Callithrix jacchus: one gene and its partners. The protein of the gene in region 1 purifies or fractionates together with the protein of each later gene. This does not show direct contact. Links are inferred from orthologs where the notes say so. Each region holds a gene or a part of one and is shown in the gene's direction. Other genes may lie near its edges.

What was found. The genes of interacting proteins can lie anywhere in the genome.
Region 2: the proteins of E2F1 (region 1) and KAT2B purify together in Homo sapiens (affinity purification with western blotting; 5 studies listed by BioGRID and IntAct, with this or other methods). This does not show direct contact. The link is inferred for Callithrix jacchus from reciprocal best matches to the Homo sapiens genes E2F1 and KAT2B.
Region 3: the proteins of E2F1 (region 1) and TRRAP purify together in Homo sapiens (affinity purification with western blotting; 3 studies listed by BioGRID and IntAct, with this or other methods). This does not show direct contact. The link is inferred for Callithrix jacchus from reciprocal best matches to the Homo sapiens genes E2F1 and TRRAP.
Region 4: the proteins of E2F1 (region 1) and RBL2 purify together in Homo sapiens (affinity purification with western blotting; 3 studies listed by BioGRID and IntAct, with this or other methods). This does not show direct contact. The link is inferred for Callithrix jacchus from reciprocal best matches to the Homo sapiens genes E2F1 and RBL2.

The regions. Positions count from the first base shown.
Region 1 is NC_133506.1:5,620,017-5,624,722, forward strand, and holds part of E2F1 (transcription factor E2F1), read left to right. Parts: intron 1-138; coding exon 139-229; intron 230-579; coding exon 580-799; intron 800-2,234; coding exon 2,235-2,387; intron 2,388-3,077; coding exon 3,078-3,192; intron 3,193-3,287; coding exon 3,288-3,519; intron 3,520-3,644; coding exon 3,645-3,892; 3' UTR 3,893-4,706. UniProt on the Homo sapiens protein: Transcription activator that binds DNA cooperatively with DP proteins through the E2 recognition site, 5'-TTTC[CG]CGC-3' found in the promoter region of a number of genes whose products are involved in cell cycle regulation or in DNA replication.
Region 2 is NC_133518.1:58,632,147-58,636,852, forward strand, and holds part of KAT2B (histone acetyltransferase KAT2B), read left to right. Parts: intron 1-1,459; coding exon 1,460-1,668; intron 1,669-2,660; coding exon 2,661-2,787; intron 2,788-4,706. UniProt on the Homo sapiens protein: Functions as a histone acetyltransferase (HAT) to promote transcriptional activation. Has significant histone acetyltransferase activity with core histones (H3 and H4), and also with nucleosome core particles.
Region 3 is NC_133503.1:14,643,496-14,648,201, reverse strand, and holds part of TRRAP (transformation/transcription domain-associated protein), read left to right. Parts: intron 1-535; coding exon 536-664; intron 665-2,855; coding exon 2,856-3,122; intron 3,123-4,674; coding exon 4,675-4,706. UniProt on the Homo sapiens protein: Adapter protein, which is found in various multiprotein chromatin complexes with histone acetyltransferase activity (HAT), which gives a specific tag for epigenetic transcription activation.
Region 4 is NC_133521.1:11,389,951-11,394,656, forward strand, and holds part of RBL2 (retinoblastoma-like protein 2), read left to right. Parts: coding exon 1-66; intron 67-3,608; coding exon 3,609-3,878; intron 3,879-4,072; coding exon 4,073-4,353; intron 4,354-4,437; coding exon 4,438-4,614; intron 4,615-4,706. UniProt on the Homo sapiens protein: Key regulator of entry into cell division. Directly involved in heterochromatin formation by maintaining overall chromatin structure and, in particular, that of constitutive heterochromatin by stabilizing histone methylation.

The DNA.
Region 1 (4,706 bases):
GATCTCCCTCAGTCACACAGTCAGGCATCCTGCTACAGAAACTGAGGTGGGGGTAACCCAGAGGTGCCTAGCCCTCAGCCAGGTCTCTTCTGGCATCACTCCTGGTTACTGGGCATCCTCCCATTGTTTTCACTACAGGTGAAGCGGAGGCTGGACCTGGAAACTGACCATCAGTACCTGGCTGAAAGCAGTGGGCCAGCTCGGGGCAGAGGCCGCCATCAAGGAAAAGGTACCCACGGAGCTTGGGCTGGGCAGGCCCCCTGTGACCAGGCCCGGGTTGGGGGTGTGAACAAACAAACATGCTTTCAGGCTAACGTCTTGGTTCATTGGGCTTGAGCCAGGCCTCTGGGGACCCTGATGGGCAGCTGGAGTCGCTGCCTGGCTTGGTTTACCCCAGCCCTGAGGGTTGAGGAGTTCCCCAGTCAGAATAAGAATGCTGTGGTTGACCTCACCAAGGGGAAGGGGCTGGCTGTCCCCCGGCCCCCATCATCCTGCTGTCCTGCACTGCCACAGAGGCAGGCCTGGCTGGAGGTGGGGTGGATGCTGGAGGGCCCTACTTGCTTGACCACACCCTTACAGGTGTGAAATCCCCGGGGGAGAAGTCACGCTATGAGACCTCACTGAATCTGACCACCAAGCGCTTCCTGGAGCTGCTGAGCCGCTCTGCTGACGGTGTTGTCGACCTGAACTGGGCTGCCGAGGTGCTCAAAGTGCAGAAGCGGCGCATCTATGACATCACCAATGTCCTCGAGGGCATCCAGCTCATTGCCAAGAAGTCCAAGAACCACATCCAGTGGCTGTAGGTACCGGCCACACAGGAGGGCAGGCACACCTGCCCATGCCAGCCTGGAGGAACTGTAGCAGTACCCACTGTGGGCTGTCTGCATCCACATGTTACAGCTGGGGAAACGGGCTCAGGGAAGAGAGGTAGCTTCCCTGAGATGATAGATGCTAAAAAGCACACAAATCTTACATATCCAGCTCAGTTACAGCTTTATTTATTTATTTAATTTTTTAAGATGGAGTTTCACTCTGTCGCCCAGGCTGGAGTGCAGTGGCGTCATCTCAGCTCACTGCAACCACCACTTCCCAGGTTCAAGTGATTCTTCTGCCTCAGCCTCCCAAGTAGCTGGGGTTATAGGCACTTACCACTACGCCCGGCTAATTTTTGTATTTTTAGTAGAGACAGGGTTTCACCATGTTGGCCAGGCTGGTCTCAAACTCCAGATCTGAGGTAATCTGCCTGCCTTGGCCTCCCAGAGTGCTGGGATTATAGGCGTGAGCCACTGTGCCCAGCAGAGCTTTACATATTTATTCATCTGGGTTACCACCATTCAGATCAAGATAGAAGCATTTCCAACACCCCAGAAGGTTCTCTTGTGCCCCTTTCCAGTCACTGCCAACCCCTCACACCACCAGGTGACCACTCTTCTGGTGTCTTATGCCCTCGGTAAGATTTGTCTGGCACGGATGTTTTCTTTTTGTACTTGTTTTATTTTCCCCTTCTTGCCTTTGCCCTAGTCATCCTGCTACCCTCTCTTTGATACACCTGCCTTTTCATTTTTTGGTAGATTGTTCCATTCTACATCTTTTATGTTTTTTTGAGGGGGTGGGGGGCAGTTTGAGACAGGGTATTGCTCTGTCACCCAGACTGGAGTCTGGAGGCACAAGTAGAGCTCACTGCAGCCTCAACCTCCTGGGCTCAATCCTTGTACCTGTAGCTAGGACTACAAGTACATGCCACCATGCCTGGCTAATTTCTTTAATTTTGTGTAGAGGTGGGGTCTCACAGTATTGCCCAGGCTGGTTTAAACTCCTGAGGCTCAAGCAGTACATCCTCTGACCTCAGCTTCCCAAAGTGCTGGGATTATGTGTGAGCCACCAAGCCCAGCCCATTTTTTTTTTTTTTTTAATTTGACAGCATGACTTGGAAATGCTTGTATGTATGTGTCTAGAGCATGCTCATCCTTTTATACAACTGTAATGTTTCATGACATGTCGATGCCATCATTTATTTATCCTGCCCTGGTTGAGGGACATGTAGGTGTTTATAAATATTCGGGCCAGACTTCAAGCCCATGACACACTGATTTGGATCCCAGCTGAGGAGCCAGACCCAGAGAGAAGCAAGGGCTTGCCTGGGCCTCGCAGAACAGAGGCAGCAGCAGATGGGGTCCTGAGCGCCAGAGGGGCCAGACGATGCTAACCCTACCCTCCCTGGTGCCTCCCCACAGGGGCAGCCACACCACAGTGGGTGTTGGTGGGCGGCTTGAGGGGCTGACCCAGGACCTCCGGCAGCTGCAGGAGAGTGAGCAGCAGCTGGACCACCTGATGAATATCTGTACTACGCAGCTGCGCCTGCTCTCCGAGGACACTGACAGCCAGCGATATCCTTGGACTGGCCGGGGGTGTGGAAGGCAGGCTTAGTGCGCAGGGGTCCCACCCAAGTGGGACTAGAGAGGCTACCCTGGGCCCTGGATTCCGGAGAGGATGCTGGTTTTGGTTGCAAGTTCTGGCTCAGCATTTTCTCATTGTGTGACACTGGATAAATTGCTTAACCTCTCTGGGCCTCAGTTTTAGCTATAAAAGGGGGATAATAATATCCAATTCTGAAATTGTACAGATTAAAGCAGAAAAGTGGCTGGGGTGGCTCCTGCCTGTAATCCTAGTGCTTCAGGAGGCTGAGGTGGGAGGATCACTTGAGCCCAGGAGTTTGAGGCTGCAGTGAGCTCTGGTTGAGCTACAGCACTCCAGCCTGGGTGACATAGTGAGAACCTGCTTCTAAAAACTAAATAATAAGTTCCCAGCAGCAGGCCTGCAGTTGTGTTGAGCATTTTACATGGAATTGTTCCTGGTAGCCATCATCATTACTTTGGGATTCAGTTGGTAGAATAGTTCCATTGTACAGATGTGGAACTTGAAACTTGGGAATGAGGTGGCTTTTGAGCAGATGGGGGGGTTGAGAAGACAGGAGTGACTAGGGAGGTGTGAGCCCTGCCTTGTGAAGGTCCTTTGTGAGTTGCTGGAGTGAGTGACCCTCAGAAGTCAAAGTTCCTGTGGTCCTTGACTCTGCCAACCCTGGCCTATGTGACGTGCCAGGATCTTCGTAGCATTGCAGACCCTGCAGAGCAGATGGTTATGGTGATCAAGGCTCCTCCTGAGACCCAGCTCCAAGCTGTGGACTCTTCGGAGGTGAGATCTGGAAACTCTAGGCCCAACTGGGCTGGGCTGGGCTGGGCTTGGGGTCACCTGGGCCTCAGTTTACCCTGCCTGCTGCTTCCACCCAGACATTTCAGATCTCTCTTAAGAGCAAACAAGGCCCCATCGATGTTTTCCTGTGCCCTGAGGAGACTGTGGGTGGGATCAGCCCTGGGAAGACCCCGTCCCCGTCCCGGGAGGCTGCTTCTGTGGAGGAGAACAGGGCCTCTGACTCTGCCACCATAGTGCCGCCACCATCATCATCTCCCCACTCATCCTTCGCCACAGATCCCAGCCAGTCTCTGCTCAGCCTGGAGCAAGGTGGGTGATGGGTAGGTGGGTGGGGTGGGAAAGGGCCACTCTTCTGGGGGGCGGGCAGGCACGACAGCCCCTGTCTTCCTCCCTGCTGGGGCATCCCCGGCCTGTGATGCTCCCCGTCTCCCCAGAACCACTGTTGTCCCGGATGGGCAGCCTACGGGCTCCCATGGACGAGGACCGCCTGTCCCCGCTGGTGGCAGCCGACTCGCTCCTGGAGCATGTGCGGGAGGACTTCTCCGGCCTCCTCCCTGAGGAGTTCATCAGCCTTTCCCCACCCCATGAGGGCCTCGACTACCACTTCGGCCTCGAGGAGGGCGAGGGCATCAGAGACCTCTTCGACTGTGACTTTGGGGACTTCACCCCCCTCGATTTCTGATGGGGCTTGGAGGGACCAGCGTTTCCAGAGATGCTCACTGTCTCTGCAGCCCTGGAGCCTCCTGTCCCTGGCCATCCTCCCAGCCTGATCGGAAACATTTAATTTATACCCCTCTCTCCTGTCTCCAGTAGCTTCTAGCTCTGGGGTCTGGCTACCGCTAGGAGGCTGAGCAAGCCAGGAAGGGAAGGAGTCTGTTTGTGGTGTGTATGTGCATGCAGCCTACACCCACACGTGTGTACCTGGGGTGAATGTGGTGTGTGAGCATGTGTGTGTGCATGTACCGGGGAATGAAGGTGAATATACACCTCTGTGTGTGCACTGCAGACACGCCCCAGTGTGTCCACATGTGTGTGCATGAGTCCATGTGTGCGCGTGGGGGGCTCTAACTGCACTTTCGGCCCTTTTGCTCTGGGGGTCCCACAAGGCCCAGCATAGTGCCTGCTCCGAGAATCCGGCGCTCTGACCAGGCCAGGTGGGGAGGCTTTGGCTGGCTGGGCTTGTAGGACGGCGAGAGCACTTCTGTCTTAAAGGTTTTTTCTGATTGAAGCTTTAATGGAGCGTTATTTATTTATCGAGGCCTCTTTGGCGAGCCTGGGGAATCAGCATAGGGGAGGAGGGGTGTGGGGTTGATACCCCGACTTCCTCTACCCTTGAGCAAGGGCAGGGGTCCCTGAGCTGTTCTGCCCCACACTGAAGGAGCTGAGGCCTGGGTGATTTATTTATTGGGAAAGTGAGGGAGGGAGACAGACTGACTGACAGCCATGGGTAGACGGATGGTGGGGCAGGCCCTCTCCAGGGGGCCAGTTCGGGGCCC
Region 2 (4,706 bases), on another chromosome or scaffold:
CATAGGAGCTATCTGAGCAAGAACCCATTCATCAACAAGGGGCTGGTGCTAGGCCATTCATGAGGGATCTGCCCTGAAGATCCAACAGTTCCCACTATGCATCACCTCCAACACTGGAGATTACATTTCAACATGAGATTTGGAGAAGGCACACATTCAAACCGCATCAGGATGCAGTCACACATTTCAAAATATTTTAGATATATTAATATTTACTAGTGTACTGGAGCTGGCTTGTACTGGAATGCACAAGAAAATTGTTAAGTATTCAGAAATTTTGTGAGCTGGTTGCTCCATATGTTGGTAGCTTGAAATTGACCACAGTAGCACCTGGTTACCTGGATAGCCAGTTCTGGAGTAATGAGATGAAGTGCCGCCAGTTAGGGCTTTCCTTCCCTTAAGAGCTGTTTGTGGAGCATTTACTTGCAAACCACTGGGTAGATTAAATAAGAGGGGGAGTACAAAGTGCTGGCACATGGCTGTGCTTCTAGCCATGGTTGAGTGTAGGTTAGTAGATATTCTCTGGAAAGAAAACTGTTCTTTAAAAAGAGGTGTAAAGAATATATATATGAGGCTGGGCGCAGTGGCTCACGCCTATAATCCTAGCACTTGGGGAGGCCGAGGCAGGTGGATCACAAGGTCAAGAGATGGAGACCATCCTGGTCAACATGGTGAAACCCCGTCTCTACTAAAAATACAAAAATTAGCTGGACATGGTGGTGCATGCCTGTAATCCCAGCTACTCAGCAGGCTGAGGCAGGAGAATTGCCTCAACCCAGGAGGCGGAGGTTGCGGTGAGCCAAGATCGTGCCATTGCACTCCAGCCTGGGTAAACAAGAGCGAAACTCCGCCTCAAAAAAAAAATCAATAAATAAAAAATAATATATACATGAGAGCTACTATTGGGCCTGTAATGAGAATTTGGATCTCTCATCCCAAAGGTCCTTCAAGCACAGCTGGAGAGGATTCCTTTAAGCCAGAGGTTGGCAAACTTTAACCCACGGGCCACACTTTGCCTGCTTACTGTTTTTTAAAATAATGTTTTATCAGAACAGTACTACACCCATTCTTTAGCATGTTGTCTGTGGATGCCTTTGCATTGTAGCAGCAGAAGGAGTAGTTGTGGCAAAGACCTTGTGGCTCACAACGTCTAAAATATTTTCTCTCTGGCCCTTCACAGCAAAGTTTGCTGGCCCCTAATCTATACTGAATGTCATCCATGTACACATGTCATACTCCAGTTTCTCAAAATGCTTTACCTGCCTTTTCTATCTTGTCTTTATAACTTGTACGTGTATGTGTCTCTGTGTATATGTGTGTGCACACGTGTGTATGTAGGACTCTGAGAATCCACAAATGTGTATCTTATTAGAACAAAGAAGAGAAGCTTGGATGTGTCCCATCCCCACGGTCTTGAGAGAATCCTCTGTGTAATTTTTTCCTGTCTCTTGCATCTCAGACCAATTTTCTGTCAGCACATTCAGCCAGGGATGAGGCGGCCAGGTTGGAAGAACGCAGGGGTGTAATTGAATTCCACGTAGTTGGCAATTCCCTCAACCAGAAACCAAACAAGAAGATCCTGATGTGGCTGGTCGGACTTCAGAACGTTTTCTCCCACCAGCTGCCCCGAATGCCAAAAGAATACATCACACGGCTTGTCTTTGACCCGTAAGTGGTACTTTCTGTGCCTTCTTCCTCATTTCCTTTTTAAATGAAAGAGGAACTGCTTAGATAGTGAAAGTCAGCCATAGTCATCCACCGAATACTGCTGCTCCTGTCTCGCTGTGGATACAGAACTACACCAGGCTAATTTTTATGTCTGAAAGTGCTAAGATTAATTTTCAGCAATTTATAAATTTTCTTGTTAATAATAAGCGTTATATTCCATCGCTGATGACTGTCCTGTGCTTCATTCTTTATAGCAGTGAGAGGTCGTAAACACTAAGATGTTCTACTTTTTTTCATAGTCAAAATATTGGTTTTGGTATCTTAACTAGGTACCATTATTGCCCAGGTCTGTGGGCAATTATTGGGATATAAGACAGGTTAACTTTGAAAATCCATTGCTTAAAAAAGAAAAATCCACAAAACCCCAAAGAACTAAATGTCATTAATTGAATTTATTTGAACATATATAGCCCAGTAGCCTATGGGGACTGTTATCTATGCCTGTGACAATTCAGAGTAATGCTTTAGACAGAGGGAAGGATTCCATACTGCAGAGTTTTGCAGATTGTATATGTAGATTTTTAACTTTTTTCATAATGTTTCTGTGATATATTGGAGTAAGACTTAACTCTGCAGAGACACATACCATGTTTGTCCATGACTTCCTGCTCCCTGACCCCTCCTTGGCACTGGATGTGCCAGTTCCAGAGCACATCTGCACATACTCTGTTCTCTATTTGTAAACCCCAGGCACTTCTTAGGTGACTGATATTTTGTTCTGATGGGAGTACCGATGACATCTTGTGCAGGCAAGCTTGCTTTAAAAAGTTCAGATAAAAGAATGGTCTAGCAAGATAGGGTCTACATGAAGGAAATTTTTATAGAAACTTAGGACATATAGCTCTTTCTTAGTTGGTTAATAAGGAATACCCCAAAAAGTATATTTATATAACTAGGATAGGTAAAACTTTGACATAATCTTATTCTTTCAGGAAACACAAAACCCTTGCTTTAATTAAAGATGGCCGTGTCATTGGTGGTATCTGTTTCCGTATGTTTCCATCTCAAGGATTCACAGAGATTGTCTTCTGTGCTGTAACCTCAAATGAGCAAGTCAAGGTAAGGGTAACCCAAGGTCTTAGAAGAAAAGCAGGATGTGGGGCTTCTTACTAAGGCTGCAGGGCTTGGGAAGATCTTTCTGTGCCATGTCCAGAGAAGGTTGAAAGTGGAGTTAAGGACTTTCTGGGAATAGTCCTCTCACTCCAGCCATCTCCAGCCTTTTCGGTACCAGGGACTGGTTTCGCAGAAGACAGTTTTTCCACAGGCTGTTTTGGGATGAAACTTCTTCACCTCCGATTATCAGGCATTAGTTAGATTCTCATAAGGACCATGCAACCCAGATCCCTAGCATGTGCAGTTCATAATAGGGTTCATGCTCCAAGGAGAGTCTAGTGCCACCACTGGTCTGACAGGAGGCAGAGCCCAGGCAGTAATGCTCACTTGCCTGCTGTTCACCTCTTGCTGTGTGGCCTGTTCCCTAACAGGCCATGGACTGGTAATGGTCTAGGGGTTGGGGACCTCTGTCTCACTCTGAGTGTTTGTGTATATGTGTGAGGAGAATAAATGGTTTCACCTACCAACAAGTAGGGTTGTACCAAGGCTTTGTTGGACTTTGTGGCAAGGTATCAGGATACTGTACAAGTTCAATATGTAACTCAAGTGTAGTCTCTAGCAAATGAAGGGATATTTGAAAATAAATCTCGGTGTTCATTGTTAAATTTACACACACACACAAACATGTACACACAATTAGTGACACTGAACTACTGGAAAGGGTATGGTTAATGTGGATTAGAAAGGTGATTTAGGCAGCGTACATTTCAGAAAGATTTCTTATGACCTTGTCCCTCAAGGAAGACAAGGACTAAAGAAATTCGATAAGGGAAACCATGTAGATTTATGAATAAATTTCAGTAGCTATTCCTGTAGGGTTTGGCATGTGTTGGAGTGTCTTTTTGTTTTGTTTTTGTTCTAATTTACCTTCCCCATTGTCTTTGGCATAGGTGCCTTCCTTTCCGGGAACTGTGTCTGTGTTTTATTGGTATTGCAGTTGGTGTCGCAGTCTGGCAGGAATAAACCAGACTCTAAATTGACAGAAAGAGCTCGCGTCTAGACTTTGTCCTATTCTACTTTCTTGCTTTTAAGAAAAGAGAACCAGAGAACATGGCCCTAGAATGTTATTCATTTAGGGCTGAGCACAGTGGCTCACACCTGTAATCTCAGCACTTTGGGAGGCCAAGGCAGGTGGATCTCCTGAAGTCAAGAGTTTGAGACCTGTCTGACTAACATGGTGAAACCCCATCTCTACTAAAAATACAAAATTAGCTGGGTGTGTTGGCACATGTCTATGATCCCAGCTGCTTGGGAGGCTGAGGCAGGAAAATCACTTGAACCCAGAAGGCAGAGGTTGCAAGATCGTGCCACTGCACTCCACTCTGGGAAATAAGAGCGAAACTCCATCTGAAAAAAAAAAAAAAGAATGTTATTCATTTAGGATTTCATGGGCGGACTAAAGATTAGCAGCTCAGGATAAAGATGGATGCTGAGAAAAATTAGTGGAAGGTCTAAAGCAATGTGTCCAATAGAAATATAAGGCAACTTGCAAATAAGAGGTTATAAAAGCACATATATATGTGCTTTTAAATTTTCTAGTGGTTATTTTTTTTAAAAAAGCAAGTGGAATCCAGTGAGATTATTTTGGAATTTTTTTCTTTTTTTTTTTTTTTGAGACAGAGTCTCGCTCTGTTGACAGGTGCCAGGCTGGAGTGCAGTGGCTCAATCTTGGCTCACTGCAACCTCTGCCTCTTGGGTTCAAGCAATTCTGCTGCCTCAGCCTCCTGAGTAGCTGGGACTACAGGCCTGTGCCACCACGCCTAGCTAATTTTTGTATTTTTTAGTAGAGATGGGATTTCACCATGTTGGCCAGGATGATCTTGATCTCTTGACCTCGTGATCCGCCCGTCTTGGCCTCCCAAAGT
Region 3 (4,706 bases), on another chromosome or scaffold:
CTTGAGCCCTTTTCTTTTTCCACTGGGTCTCCCTTGACTAAATAGTAGAGTGAGCGAGGTGCTGTGGCATGCACCTGTAATCCCAACTACTTGGGACCACGGCGGGAGGATTGCTTGAGCTCAGGAGTTAGAGGCTGCACTGAGCTGTAATCACGCCACTGCATTCCAGTGTGGTTGACACAATGAGACCCTGTCTCTTAAGGGAAAAAAAAAATTAGTAGGCTGGGCTGTAAGTGAGGAAATGCCATTGCTGAGGAATGTCAGGTCCATGCAGCAGTGACCCAGTGTTGAAGGATAGTTTGTGAATTTCCTTGTTTTTAGAAAATGGCTTGTTTGATTTGAGAAGAATAAACCAGGTTGACATCTCTTTTCTAGTTTTTAACCTACCTTTCTAGTTGCTCTTTGCATAGAAATCAAGGTTAGTAGTCACAGGCTGGTTGAGTTCTAACTCACTGGTGTGGTATGGCCACGACTGGCTGTTCTGTTTTTCTCCTTCTTCACTTTAATTTTTTTTTTTTTTTTTTTTTTTTTGTAGGTTCTGCAGCACATATTGAATCCTGCTTTCTTATACAGCTTTGAGAAGGGGGAAGGAGAGCAGCTATTGGGACCTCCCAATCCAGAAGGAGATAACCCAGAAAGCATCACCAGTGTGTTTATTACCAAGGTGGTATAACTACGCGCATGGGCGTGAGAAGTAACCGGTCAGATGAACGAATGTCTGTGTGTGTGTTGTTTGTTTTCTTAACGCATTTATTTTTCATGATTGTGTTAATTTATAGCAGACCATCACATTACAATTCTTAGTAGTGAGTTTTTGAAGGCAGCCTTACTTTGGAATGAATTAACCTCCCACATTAATAGATTCTAATCAGAAACGAAATGTATCTTGATGAAAGTTCATGTAGCAGTTATTTTGTGAAAACCCTTGTTGCCAGTCAGCAGAATTTCTGTGTTCTGTTTTCATCTCCAGTTTTGCGAAAGAATCTCCTAATAGCCAGTGAGCCTATGAGACTGTCTGCAGTTCCTGCTGCAACTCCTTCTTGCCAAGTTATGAAACCCTGTGGCAGCTGTAGTCTAGTCTGAAACAAGCTCAGGTTTTAACACCTCTGTACATTTTTACAATGGCTTTACAGTTTGTATTAGAGAGAGTTTTTTGAATTAAATGCCTGTGTTCTGTCATTGTCCCAATACTCACTATATTGATGCTCACCGTTAAAGGTAGTGTTTGCCTTGAGATTCTCGCATTGGGTGTGTGTTGGAATGCTTAGTGAATATTTTCCTCATTAGAAATACAGATGGCTGGTTTTCTTATCCATTTTGTCCTGGGGTCAAGGCAGAGGGGACTGTTGTTTCCATTGGCAGATTCCCGGACCTTAAATAGTGTTTGTCCTTTCAGACAGGCCGCCTTCCTGCAGTGTTGACATCCCACTCTGGGATCAGAGCCAGGCCAGGGGGTTGTTCTTGGTCCCCTTACTGTTATTTGCCTTATTCTGGGCAAGTGTAGGGAGATGGGGCCCAGAAGGACCCCTTCTCCTTTGTCGTCTTCTTCAGGTTGTGCCTCCTGGGTCACATACTGCTGCTAGGGGACTTTGAATGTCAGGATGAGGAGAAAACGAGCTGGCAGACTGGAGTCTGGGGATGCAGGTGTGGGGCTGCCAAGAAGCAGTACATCCAGGGAAGAGAGGACCTTGGGCGGGACTAAAAGGGACCTTGATGAAAACATGATTATCATGGAAGACGTCGGTCTTTCTGTTTTCAGTAGTATTAAGGCCTGGTAGACAGACAGTGGTTAGGATACTTGGTTGAATTGAATGATGCCACCATTATACTTGATTTAGTAGAGACGTGTAGAATATTCCTCAAAGAAGGTACATTTTTTCTTACGTCCATGAAACAATTAAATTATCTGTCAGATGCTTTCAAAACTGTAACAGTTTTTTGGAAGTTGACATTTTTCCAGGTCACATTTTCTAATCATGCAGCAGAAAAATAAGGAACAGACAAAAGTTGACCAGGAAAAAAAAAATCTCAACTACTTGGAAATTAAGAAACTCAGTCCTAAGTCACCTTGAATCAAAGTCTTCCTTTCCACCTCGCCTTCCTCCAGCCCTGTGTCCTGACTCTTAAGCCTCCCCTTTTTTAAATGTTGAAATGAATTTGGTGAATTTCTAATCGATATGTAAACCAAAAAGTCTCTGAGATGGATCTCAATCATTTTAGAAATTTATTTTGCCGAAGTTAAGGATGTGTCTGGGAGAGAGGTTTGTGTCCTACTTTAAAGATGGTTTTGAGGACTGCAGTATTTGAAGGGGAAAATTGGGCTGAAGGAGAAAGAGGGAGGGTGTGGTCATCCACACATTGCAAAAGAAGGGGAGCAGGTAGGGGAACAGGCAGTTCTGTGTTCGTCTCACGCTTAGGAAGTCAGAACTTTATGGAAGATATGGTGAACATGGAGCTGATACCTGTGGTGATCATTAACCTTTTATCTTTAGCTCTGCTTAGGAACAAAAGGAGAGCCAGTTTCTTGCATGACTCAACTTTCGGCTTAATTTTTTCCACTGGGCAGAGCAAATTGGGATCCTAAGGTTTTTTTCCTCCTTTCACATACATATGAAGGAAGATGGATAGGATGTTATTGATTACCTCATTGTAATATTTCATGTTACATACTCTGTGTGTGTGTGTGTGTGTGTGTGTGTGTGTGTGTGTGTATTTTTAAGGCTTAAACCTGTTGTATGACCCTCAGTGAGTGTATGTGTGTCTGTGTGTGTCTGTGTTTAAGCCTTGTTGTATGACCCTCAGTCAGTAACGCAGTTCACAGCTGGAAATGAGTCCTTCCCACTGTCCCCGTGCAGGTCCTGGACCCCGAGAAGCAGGCAGACATGCTGGACTCGCTGCGGATCTACCTGCTGCAGTACGCCACCCTGCTGGTGGAGCACGCCCCGCACCACATCCACGACAATAACAAGAACCGCAATAGCAAGCTTCGCCGCCTCATGACCTTCGCCTGGCCCTGCCTACTCTCCAAGGCCTGTGTGGACCCGGCCTGCAAGTACAGCGGACACTTGCTCCTGGCACACATTATTGCCAAATTCGCCATCCACAAGAAGATCGTCCTGCAGGTATTTTGCAACTCCCCTCCTGTCCTCCATGTGGATCCCATGCTGTGCGCTTGACTCCCTGGCGCAGTGTCAGCCTCCCTGCTGTCTTTTCCCGATATCAGTAAAAACCACGAAAACACAGACACTATATGATTGATTCCACTTAGAAGACCCTAGGGCACTTAAATTCAGAGAGACAAAAAGAGACTGCGGCGGGGCCGGGCCAGGAAGAGGGGGTGGGGAACGCATGCTGACTGGGTGCAGAGTTTCAGCCTGGGAAGAAGCATGCGTTCTGCAGGTGATGGGGCTCGTGGCTGCACCCCCCATGAAGGTGCCTGGCGCCACTGGGCTGTGCACCCACAAATGGGGATGATGGTATATTCTGTGTTTTGTGTGTTTTACTACAATAACAGGAAATTTGAGGGGAAAATAACCCACACTGTGACTATCCATGCTCTCCCTTCCTCATTCCGACTCTGCTCTCTCATTCCTCGATGGCTTTGCTTTTTAAAGGAAATGCCACCTTTTCCATCTCACGCTTCTCTGGCAATTGCATTCTGGCCTCTGACCCTGACATTCCATGGCACAAATTATAAATATTCAAGGGCCTCAGCCCAGTTCTCTTTGCTAAAGACAGTAGGTACTTTTGGATCTGTATCTCATGGGCCTGCTGCTGTGCAGCTGGTATTAAGCGTCTCTTCATGGTGTCGCTTGGTGGTTTGGGCTCTGAGGTTGGGCACCGCGGGTTTGAGTGTTCTTTCCTCTGCTCACACGGTCTGTGCCCTTGGGCAAGTTAATGTCTCTGTGTGAGAATTAAATGTAGTATTACACTCGAGTGCTCAGCATTTGATCACTGATAGCTCCTGTCTTCTGTGAGACCATCTTTGATGGGCTTTCCCCTGATGTGTTTCTCCTGTGAACCTTTGTGGTGTTGAACTCTGGACCCCGATCAAGCCAGGAGCCTCTCACATCCCTCCCATGGCCCCTTGAGCTAGAACTCCAGCCTCGGGACTTCACTGCTCCCCCCCAGTTTCAAACACCCAGGGACTTTTGACCTTCTCTCCTCCTCCCCAGGGCCCACGCACCAGGAGGTTCTGCAGCTTCTAACACCCACCCTGTTCCACCCCAGGACTGTCTTTCTGTGTTCTGTGACCTCACCTCACTTGAACGACTGCAACTGCCATTTTGCAGCACCTCTCCTGCTAGCCCTGTTCACTTTATTTCCCACCCGAAGCTAGAGGGAGATGAGCCATATTCCTCCCTAACTCTGCTGGTTAGACGGGACACAGGATCCCTGCAGAGAGCTGGGTCTTATCTGTCTGCATGCCCCAGCCTAGTTCAGCACGGGCACATAGCAGGTGCTTTGTAAATACTAGAATGGATGTATTCATTGGTCAAAACTAAACAAAACAGAAAGCAACTAAGTTGTTTCCTAATTAGAAAGTCCTAAGAAATGTTTTAAAAAATTGTTTTGGAAAAATACCATGCCTTGATCCCAATGGATTGTTTGTGTTTTCCTGTTTTTTAAAGCCTTCCTTCTCCTCTTCCATTAAGTGTCTCTTCCCTCTTTTAGGTCTTCCATAGTCTCCTCAAGGCTCATGCAAT
Region 4 (4,706 bases), on another chromosome or scaffold:
CTGGCTCCCCTTTGACTCCCAGAAGGGTGACTGAAGTTCGTGCTGATACTGGAGGACTTGGAAGGAGTAAGTTTAAAATACTAGGGGAATATTTTGGGGCCTACTATCTGGAAATTTAAATTTCATCTAATCCTAGAAGTGAAGTTAGTAGGCAATATATAGAAGAAAATATTCCATGTATTTTTGTGCCACATGGATCACTTAAAAGAAGTGCCTCTCAGGAGAATTGCCTGATCCCAGGAGGCAGAGGTTGCAGTGAGCCGAGATCGCGCCATTGCACTCCATCCTGGGTAACAAGAGCGAAACTCCATCTCAAAAGAAAAAAAAAAGAAGTGCCTTTAAAGATTAAGAATACAGGAAAATGAAAATGAAAAAAAAAAAAAAATACAGGAAAATGAATCTTAACAGGCATCTTTTAAAAAGGATAGACTGCTATATTTATTTATTTATTTAATTTTAATTTTTAAAATTTTTTCAAGCAGGGTCTCACTCTGTGGCCCAGGCTGGAGTGTAGTAGCGCAGTCTCACTCACTGCAACCTCCACCTGCCGGGTTCAAGTGATTCTCGTGCCTCAGCCTCCCAAGTAGCTGGGACTACAGGCACATGCCAGCACGCCTGGCTAATTTTTATATATTTAGTAGAGAAGGGGTTTTGCCGTGTTGGCCAGACTGGCCTCAACCTCCTCACCTCAGGTGATCTGCCTGCCTTGGCCTCCCAAAGTGCTAGGAGTCACCATAGCCAGCCGACTGCTGTGTATGTATTTTTTAAAGCGTATGTTTATCGATGAGCATACAAAATGGTGGAAATGGAAAAACCAAACTGTTAAGATTATTGTTGGTTGATAGAATTCCTGGTGATTCTGTAAAATTTTTACGGCAAATACATATTACAGGAGAAATAGAAATGCCTTCTTAAAGACAGAGCTACATGATCCAGTTAGGTACAGACAAACCCGTGAGTTAAGACTACTGAGTATGTTCCACTTGGTCTGTTGAGATGTGCTACCCTAGTTAATGTGACACTAGTGCTGGTCCAAGAAATACAGAAAAGGGCAGTTTTGCTGTGCATCTGGTTTATACTTTTTAGGCAGCTGCTTGGAAGATCTGCAATATGAAAGGTTGAAGTTTAAATAGAACTACCTTTTAAAGAGCAATTCAGTAAATCCAGAGAGTTCTAAATCCTTGGATGCAATTAAAAGAATATTCTTATTTCTAGATCAGTTTTATAATGTAATTGATAAGAGCTGGCTGTAGAAGAAATACCAGTTTTAATGTCAGGAATCGGCCAGGTGCCGTGGCTTATGCCTGTAATCCCAGCACTTTGAGAGGCCAAGGCAGGTGGATCACCTGAAGTCAGGAGTTTGAGACCAGCTTGGCCGACAAGGTGAAACCTCGTCTCTACTAAAAATAAAAAAAAAAATTAGCCAGGCATGGTGGCGGGCATGTGTAATCCCAGCTACTTGGGAGGCTGAGGCAGGAGAATAGCTTGAACCTCGGAGGTGGAGGTTGTGGTGAGCTTGAATCAGGCCACTGCGCTTGAGCCTGGGCGACAGAGTGAGACTCTGTCTCTAAATAAATAAAGTCAGGAATCACTCTAGGATGGGCATGGTAGCTCATGCCTGTAACCCGAGCACTGTGGGAGACCTAGTAGGGAGGATCGCTTGAACCCACGAGTTCAAGACCATTCTGGGCAACATATCAAGATGCTATCTGTACAAAAAAAAATCACTCTAAGTCAGTGTATACTTAATACACATGGATGATCCATATGAAAAGTCCTCATTTTTGAAAGATCTGACAGCTGGTCTTTCTCAGTCTATTTTTGTAGAATTTTCCCTTCCCTTATTTACAGATTAAGAGGACTTAACTTTAAACTTCATTTTCTTTGCACTTATCACTTCTCAGTTTTCCTGAGATCTCTTGATATTTTATACAAAAATGATAATGTATTCTTTCTGATTCTGCAGCTTTGTACCAAATACAAATCTAGTAACTTGACTTACTTTTGTGTCATCTGGAAATAGAAATGTTAAGCTGCAGTTTATTAGGATTTACTCCTATCAATACCTCTTACGAACTTCCTACATATATTTTAAAATTTAAAAACAACTGATACACAGCTTTTAGAGGTGGACACAGAAGAAGGAAGGAATGCTTCTCAAAAATTCAGACATTGGTGTGAATACTTAAAAACAGACTAAGCCATAATGGGCTGTTCAGGTAATGAAGTTTTACAAATAGTGGTGACTGTTCTGCCATATTGTAAATGTGATTGATACCACTGAATCGTACACATAAAAATTGGTTAAAATGGTAAATTATATATATATATTTTACCACAGTGTTAAAAAACTAGCCTGTAATACCAGCACTTTGGGAGGCCAAGGTGGGCAGATCACCTGAGGTCAGGAGTTTGAGACCAGCCTGGCCAACATGGTGAAACCCCATCTCTACTAAAAATACAAAAGTTAGGCCGGGCGCGGTGGCTCAAGCCTGTAATCCCAGCACTTTGGGAGGCCGAGGCGGGTGGATCACGAGTTCAAGAGATTGAGACCATCCTGGTCAACGTGGTGAAACCCCGTCTCTACTAAAAATACAAAAAATTAGCTGGGCATAGTGGCTCGTGCCTGTAATCCCAGCTACTCTCCAGGAGGCTGAGGCAGGAGAATTACCTGAACCCAGGAGGCGGAGGTTACGGTGAGCCAAGATCGCGCCATTGCACTCCAGCCTGGGTAACAAGAGCGAAACTCTGTCTCAAAAAAAAGTTAGCCATGCATGGTGGCATACACCTGTAATCTCAGTCATTCAGGAGGCCGAGGCACATGAATCACTTGAACCCAGGAGGCAGAGGTTGTAGTGAGCCGAGGTCATACCACTACACTCTAGCCTGGGCGACAGAGTAAGACTCTATGTCTCAAAAAATAAAAATAAAAATGATTTACCTCAAACCATTGAATTGTACAATTTAAGTGGATAAAATTTATGATATATAAACTGTTTAAAAAAATAAACTATGCTTAATTGAATCCAAATCATGCACGTCCACCTTGTTTATAAAAAACTGATTAAAAAATAAACTATGCCTAATTGAATCCAAGTCATAAGTCATGCATGTCCACCTTAAGTATATTGAGTTTTAATAATATTTTATATGTGGAAAAAGACAAAGATAAAAATTGGTAAAACTGGTGGGGGAATGCTCCTAGATGACATACTACCAATCGTGTCAAGTAGTGGCTCTGTAGTAAAGTCATATCTATTACAGAAAAATGTCATACAGAGAAATAGGGTAATGAATGCCTTAAATTGCCCCTAAATCATGAAGGTTCTGTAGTAGTGGAAGACAGAGTCGAGTCTGATTAGGGAAAGGGGGATTGGAGAAAGGAACACTACAAGACAAAAAATTCCATTTTAAAATTTTGCTCTTGAAAATTCACTAATTTTCATTAGTGGAATGGAGGTAAGATATGACTTCTGTAATTCTTGTTTGCTTTTTGATTTATGAAAACATAATTTCAAACACTGTAGTAATTTTTGAACCTGACAACTTGGATGGAAGTCAGATCTGAGTCTCCTTGAGTTAAATACTTTGATTTGTTTTGACCCTAGGTGTAACATCTCCAACCACATTATATGATAGGTACAGCTCACCACCAGCCAGCACTACCAGAAGGCGGCTATTTGTTGAGAATGATAGCCCTTCTGATGGAGGGACACCTGGGCGCATGCCCCAACAGCCAATAGTCAATGCTGTCCCTGTGCAGAATGTATCTGGGGAGCCTGTTTCTGTCACACCAGTTCCTGGACAAACTTTGGTCACCATGGCGACTGCCACTGTCACTGCCAACAATGGGCAAACAGTAACCATTCCTGTGCAAGGTAAGGAAGGCAGAGCTGGATATTGAGTTCCTTCTCTGTGGCATGTATTGAAAAGTTACCCAAGGTTTGGCTAGAGTGACGCAGGGGACAGAGGAGTGATGGGGGGCGGGGTTAAGAGAGGGGAAATTGTAAACCTTTGCCTGGAGAACCCCTTATTAACATTTTCTTCAAGCTTTTTTTCTGTCACAAACTAGGTATTGCCAATGAAAATGGAGGGATAACATTCTACCCAGTCCAAGTCAATGTTGGGGGGCAGGCACAAGCTGTGACAGGCTCCATCCAGCCCCTCAGTGCTCAGGCCCTGGCTGGAAGTCTGAGCTCTCAACAAGTGACAGGAACAACTTTACAAGTCCCTGGTCAAGTGGCCATTCAACAGATTTCCCCAGGTGGCCAACAGCAGAAGCAAGGCCAGTCCGTAAGCAGCAGCAGTAATAGACCCAGGAAAACCAGCTCATTATCGCTTTTCTTTAGAAAGGTAATTTTTCACGTAACCTTACCAGAAGCATGAGCTTGGGAAATATAAGTGTTAAAGTTTGAAATGTTTTTGTTTCTCTCCTAGGTATACCATTTAGCAGGTGTACGCCTTCGGGATCTCTGTGCCAAACTAGATATTTCAGATGAACTGAGGAAAAAAATCTGGACCTGCTTTGAATTCTCCATAATTCAGTGTCCTGAACTTATGATGGACCGACATCTGGACCAGTTATTAATGTGTGCCATTTATGTGATGGCAAAAGTGAGTTTGCCATTTGGAACTGCAAAGGCAGTTCATTACCGAGAACATTTTTTAATCACTTTATTGAGATACAGTTTATATGCTATATAATT